Danio rerio: one gene and its partner. The protein of the gene in region 2 purifies or fractionates together with the protein of the main gene of each other region. This does not show direct contact. Links are inferred from orthologs where the notes say so. Each region holds a gene or a part of one and is shown on either strand. Other genes may lie near its edges.

Evidence for each region. Proteins that work in one complex are often made in the same cells at the same time.
Region 1: the proteins of gli2b (region 2) and sufu purify together in Homo sapiens (affinity purification with mass spectrometry; 3 studies listed by BioGRID and IntAct, with this or other methods). This does not show direct contact. The link is inferred for Danio rerio from reciprocal best matches to the Homo sapiens genes GLI2 and SUFU.

The regions. Positions count from the first base shown.
Region 1 is NC_133188.1:12,265,192-12,268,691, forward strand, and holds part of sufu (suppressor of fused homolog), read left to right. Parts: intron 1-442; coding exon 443-515; intron 516-2,920; coding exon of another isoform or gene 2,921-2,923; coding exon 2,924-3,077; intron 3,078-3,500. UniProt on the Homo sapiens protein: Negative regulator in the hedgehog/smoothened signaling pathway. Down-regulates GLI1-mediated transactivation of target genes. Down-regulates GLI2-mediated transactivation of target genes. Part of a corepressor complex that acts on DNA-bound GLI1.
Region 2 is NC_133186.1:46,393,157-46,396,656, forward strand, and holds part of gli2b (zinc finger protein GLI2b), read left to right. Parts: intron 1-3,009; coding exon 3,010-3,334; intron 3,335-3,500. UniProt on the Homo sapiens protein: Functions as a transcription regulator in the hedgehog (Hh) pathway. Functions as a transcriptional activator. May also function as transcriptional repressor. Requires STK36 for full transcriptional activator activity.

The sequences.
Region 1 (3,500 bases), on a different chromosome or scaffold from region 2:
ATATCCAAAGATTCACAGCTGGAGAATTGCAGAAGTTATTTGGTTGACTCAAGATTGACTATTTGATGTAACCTACATCACCACAAATAATTTGAAATGGCTTTAAGAAAAAGCTTCTGCTTTCATCCAAAACCAACTCAAATGTCTTCATTTTTTATTACTATTTTTTAGCAAAAGATTAAAAGGTTGAACAACACACAGCTTTCTTTGCTTATATTTACAAAGGTTGTTGAATTCAGTCTAGGGCACTGCATTTGTGTCTTACTACATTTATTTTTTCGTGCTGGGGCATTGTGGAAATTGCAGATAAGAGTAGTGGATTTTGAATGCTGTTGCTTTATAGAAGGCACGAGGGAGCTCAAATTGGCTGGGATGCTTTGTGCTGTTCTTATTTTTCATTATTCAGAAATGAAGTTTGATTTCTCTTCTGGTTTGTTTGCAGTGCTGGAGGTCCATGGTTAATCACTGACATGAGAAGAGGAGAATCCATATTTGACATTGATCCACATTTGCAAGTAAGGATTTTTGTAGTGTGCATGGTGCTAAAAGAATAGCTTATTCGCAGATAAAAATACTTATAATGATGTTCCTAAGCTTACAGCCCTATGATTTTCATAGTGCAAAAAATGTTGGTGGAATTCAGTCATAAAAACAGAGTTGGCTGCATAAGAGGCCGTTCACATTTCACATCTAAAACTGCATGGAAAAGGCGAGGCTTCTCGTTTTCTTGCATTTTAATGCGCTTCTGAATCACTTCATAAGCGATTTGTTATTATTATAGTTTATCATTATATTATGTAAAAAAATAAAATAGCCAGCGTCTTTGTTTCTGAATAAAAGTTTGCTTTAACTTAAATGTAAATTGGACAGAGATAGAGCACATTCTACTGGACAAGGGTAATCTATCACCACTACTACTGCTACTTCTACCACTACTACTAATATTAGTAACTTTTTAAGAAAAAAACTAAGCTTTTTCAGTATTACCTTGTTTAAATTTTCTAAAAAATATTTTTATTGAATATTTATTGAAAAACAACAACAACAGCAAAAAACGAATAGAAAACAAATTTAAACTGGAGTGAAAATGCTGGTAAGCATAATGCCAATAAAAGAGAAAACGGTAAACAAAAAATAACTGTGCGCAAGCATTGTTTTACACGTATAACCATGACTGCACATCTGCAGCGCCATCACCCAGCAATATCACTGTCTGTAGGCAGGATAGCAGAGAAGGTAATAAAGTCCTCCAAATAGCAACAATTCCCTCGCTGAATCTACCCAACTGGTTCCAAGAGACACATAAAAATAACTAAGGCAGTGCGGGTGTTTGTTGCTTAAGATTTGCAGCCGTTTTCGGTGATTGGAGATGTGGGCTTTTGTCATTTTATAAAAGCACTCGATCCGTGTTACAGACTACAGTCTCGCATTTTTTCAGCACCGAGATAATTAGGATGGTTTATTTATGTTTACCTAAGAACAAATATGTTTATTTAAAATGACCAATTTATCCTTATTTAATTCACATGTATGTTTATTTTCTAAATGTAGGATTCCCCAGTTTGTACATGGGCTACCAGCAGCTGTGAGATTTCAGTGTTAATTTTTTTATACAATGCACTAGGAACTAGTGTACTTTTCTTGGCTTTTAAGTAAAACAAAATAAGTATTGCAATAAACTGTTTATATTTTTTTCTCCCTTACCTCTTACTGTCCCTATTGCCTATTGAATAATAAAAACACACATGTGTCAAGCCATGAGAACCGAACCAAAAACCGTGTTAAAAAACTGAGGTATGTATTGAACCGTGAGCTAACTGTATTGTTGCACTACTGTGCACTTAATTCTGCTCAAACCATTTAAGTCGCCTCCATTTTCCACGTGAGTGAAATTATTATATGCTTGTATATTCCATATCTATAAATGTATTTGTTTATAAAGGATAATTTATCATTTATAATTACTTGAACTTGCACTCCAGAATCTGATTGATAATCAAGCGCATGTGGTCAGAACACAAACGTGTCGCAGGTATAATGAAGTGTTTAACGTTTCTCCTAATGAAAAAACTGTCTAAGCAAAATGATAGCATGGGTCTGTAGCTCCGTCATTTTTGCCCTTTTTGGTATCCCCACGCCTGGTGGGATGACGCCCGAACAAAATGGCGTTGATTGGCCATGCCCACTTTTAGCTTTGTTTGCGCTCTTCAGAAACCCATGGGTGACGTCACGGATACTACATATTGTTTAGTCTATGGTGTGTATGTCTGCGAGAGAAGCAGGTCAGTGCTGAGCTCAGTAATATTCATGACATGATCCATATATGGTCAGTTATAGACCTTCTGATTCTAGGGCTATTTTATGGATCAAAACATGAGAATAAAATATATATATATTAAATTTACTGACGTCATAAACCTGCTATGTAGATATCAGAGAATAATTTTAACTTATTAAGCTAATGCAGTATTTGCATTCTTTAAGTTAAATATTGGATATTTAATTTGTTTTGCAATTTACACTACTTATGTACTTTAAACAAAGTTTCAAATGTACACTTTAGGGTTGAGAGTATAGCCTGTTTAGATATAGTGCCTCATCCAAGCTAAAATGGTCTTTTCCTTGAAATATTTGCCACCTTTACTCCCTTAACACAGTTTACATCTCTCAAGTAACACACAATTTTAATTCCTGGTGATTTAAAGGTATAGTTCACCCAAAAATGAAAATATACTCACACTGTGCACACTCACACAGTGAAGCTTCAGCATTGAAAAGGTGGATTTGTAATTAAGTCTGGCCTCTTAAACTGGACCCCTCCACCTGCTGTTAGTCCTCTGCTCTATACACTGAGACGGACACATGTCCAGCCACGCTTCTCCCCTGCTGATATGTGCGTGTGTTGATTGCTCATCCAAAGCAGGAACGAGTGGATAAGGGCATCGAGACGGATGGCTCTAACCTGAGTGGGGTGAGTGCCAAGTGTGCTTGGGATGACTTGAGCAGACCTCCCGAGGACGAGGACGACAGCAGGAGCATTTGCATTGGGGCACAGCCACGCAGACTGTCGGACAAAGGTGAGGCATGCTAAGGACAAATGCAATTTAAGAACGGCTCAACAAACCAGCTTGATTAAAATACAGTGTCTCAAGCAGGGATTTTGTTTTTCTGTATCAATATAGATTTATGCACAAACTGAAAATCACAAATACTATTCTTAAAGGGATGTAAAATAGAAAAAATAGACAAAATAGTAAAAAATAGAAAATCCCTCCACTTATTCTACAATATCCATACAATATTGTATATATTCTACTATGCCTGTACAGTTGTTGCTCGTTAATTGCAGGAGTTACATTCTAAAAATAGCCTGCTATAGGTGAAATCCATGAAGTATTCCGCTTTACTCTTCACAATTATTATAGATGTTTTAAAGGAGCAGTAAGGCATCTGCCTAAATGCTAACATTTAGCACAATATCTTTTAAATACAGTCCCTCT
Region 2 (3,500 bases):
ACAAAATTTTAAATATTTTTATGTTTTTCTTAATTTATTATATGATTGTGAGGGTCGTGTTGGACTTGATGTGACAAGTTTTATATCACTGTATAAACGAGTATATATTCTTTCTGAAAATCAATATTTTGATCTTTTTTTTGTAAATATATAGGCTATACTGTTTAGTGCGTTTAAACAAAATTGCTTTACTAAACAGTTACGTTTATTAAAATAAGTGGCTTGCAACACAAGCTCATTCTGAAAACATACCCGTGTGTACATTTCTGGAGATCGCGAATTATGTAGGCAGAGGTACATAGGGCTGCATTTTGTCTTTAAAACTAACGCTACAGGGCGGTATGACGTCGTTCCTTTTCGTGCTACCAGCCGACAGTTATCTCCGTATGGCCGGCTTTACCGCTGTTATCAGTTTGCCCAGTTAGTTCACCATGTACATTTACACACTTGAGACGCAGAGTGTGGTTGACCACGACGATGAGGTTTGGGTTTGTCGAAAAACACTTCCAGAAAGGGAGTAAGACAAAAAACAGAAGCCAAAAAATAAAACAAGCAAGTAAATAAAAGGGTGAGAACGTAGTAAAAATCTGAAAATGTGGTAAAAATCAGACGAGGACTTGAATTCTTTTTCTGGATTGCTTTTTAAAACACTGTTGGTTGGGTTTAGAGAAGTGGGTGGGCGAAGGAGTAGTCAGTCAGTCGACAGCAGCCTCTGGTGGCTTTACATGAGGACAGCAGGGACAAATGGCAAGAAAACTGAGATATGAAAAAGCATACACAACGCCCTCTGGTGGATTCGTGAAAACAAAAACTGCAACAAAATGTAGCTCCTGGGACGTATTTGGAGCTCTCCAGAAATGTATACAGTGGTACTTTTTCAGAATGAGCCCCCATTGGTCACATATTGCTAAATATCTGTAGCAATAGAAACTAAAAGAATTTAACTCAAAAACAAGCTACAAAATCTCAACTAAATTATGTTTTTAATCGTTCTCTTGATTTATTTTGTTTTAAACTCATTTTTAAACTGTGATCTTAGGCTCACAGATCCCTCTTTTAAATTAATGTTCTAGAGGATGATTTACGATAATATATTTGTGCATATGCATTAGCCAAAACTGAACTAATCTAACGGAAAAAAAATGAGGATCAAATGAGCACAAACAAATGAATTTGTTGGGCAAAAAAATATTACAAAATTGTATTTTAATAAACATGAAAAAATTAAGTGAAACATTTTTTGTACATTTTATTTAGCTGTTTTATTTCTTTATTTTGCAATAACATGTACATTATCTTTCTATTCCTAAGGATGTTTGGTGACAACTCTTATTTCAATTAATATAACCATTCAATAAAACTAAATTTTGGTGTTTAAATGCACCAAAATATATTGACTATATCAAATGGATAGAAATGTTCAATTTCACTCATTTATGCTGAGCACTGTATGCATTGTAGGCAGGGCTTTACATTAACTTTTATAATTACCGGCCACCATGGCTAGTAGTTTTCCAATGTTACTAGCCACTCTGCATTATTACCAGCCACATCTTTGTTGTTGGTAAAATATATTTTATATGCATAAATTTGACTTTGACATGCTAAAATGACTTGATTTAAATTTTGTGTCATGCGTCCTCATTCATTTCTCTTTTTGTGTGTCGAGTATGAGTTTGCTCAATGAGCATGATAAAATGGGTCATTTTAAATGGGTGTTATATTGCAATTAGTTTTTATTTCACATGACTTTTTTTAGAGCTCAAAATTAACGATTTACCAAATTTATCTCTATAACCACACGAAACAATAATTATTTCTTAGCCACAAATTTTTTATGTGGCATAACAAGCTAAATATAGCTGTATCCTATACTTTTTATTTAACAAAACATTTCTTAAAAAATAAAAAGAAAAGAAATTGACTTTTAAAAAATATCTATTGTCATGTATCAAAAATATGCACAGTAATGTGTCGTGGCTAAAGATCTCTCAGATCACCAGTTGACTGCACATAAATCTCCCACACTGCAAAAAATGCTTTTCTTGCTTAGATTTTTTGTCTTGTTTCTAGTCTAAATATCTAAAATTTCTTATATCAAGAAGCATTTTCTAGACAAGCAAAACATATCGTCTTGTTTTGAGAAATAATATGCCAATATAATGTAAGTTTTTCCTTAAAACAAGCTAAATAATCTGCCAATGGGGTAAGCAAATTAATCTTTTTTTTTTTTTTTTTTTTTGACGTAAGATTATTTTGCTTACCCCATTGGCAGATTATTTTGCTTGTTTTAAGGAAAAACTCACTTAATATTGCCATATAATCTCTCAAAATGAGACCGTGTGTTTTGCTTGTCTAGAAAATTCTTCTGGATTTAGGAATTTTTATATATTTGGACTAGAAACTAGAAAAAAAAAATCTAAGAAAAGCATTTTTTGCAGTGCATTAAAGCAATGTTGTTAAAAAATTATAATAATTAAACCATTTTAAAAAGGCAAATAAAACCGTAAGCAAATAAAAGCAGGTGAAACATACCGTGTGTGATAATGAAAGGATCACATGCACACGGTTAACTTTAGGCCATTTAATAATCTGTTCAAACTGAAAGCAACCGGTGCTGCGGGTGCATGTTCATCACTTTTTGTCTAGTTTATTTGAAAGAGAACCGATGAAAGTTGCGTTTCCAGATCCTGTTCCAGACACGGTGCCTTCATATGAAATATGAGTTTACTCACCAAACATCTTTAGGAATATAAACATAATACTAAATGATATACTTTTAATGTTTCTCTTGTGTTATTAGTGTGCAAATTGGACTGTGATCTCAAGCTCAGAGATCTATATGATAATGCAATAATATATTTGTGCCTTTATATTAGATTAATAAGTCATGAAGCCAAAACTGGAGCATACAAATGTTCATCTTCACTCATTTATGCTGAACACTGTATGCATTCTCTCCATCGATCTCCTATATTATAATCAAACTTCCTATTATTCCGTCCTCAGATGTATCAGTCCAGCCCTGGTGGTCAGTCATCATGCAGCAGCGAGCCGTCACCGCTTGGCAGTGCCAGCCTCCATGGCGGTGGAGTAGAGCCGGCGGGACTCAGCGGGGGCAGCGTGGGAGATCTGAGTGCCCTGGATGACGTGCCCATTGTGGATTCCACCGTCTCCACAGGAATCCTGGGCCTTCATTTGCGCAAGAACGCCGGCCCGGCCCACAGACTCACACACCTGAAGCAGGAGAAGCTGAAGTCGGTGCGGGACTCGTGCTCCTGGGCAAACACAGCTCCTCCTGCCCCCTGCACCAAACTACCACCCATCAATACTGGTGAACAAACTACCTAACTAATTTATTTCAACTGACGCTAGGGTTGGGTGATTAATCGAATTAACCCTTATGTACTGTTAAAATGTACTACCCTTTGGTTTTGTTGGTGGCCGTTTTTGTCCAATTGACTTCCATTATAACCAAGCAATCAGATTTACCCATCAGA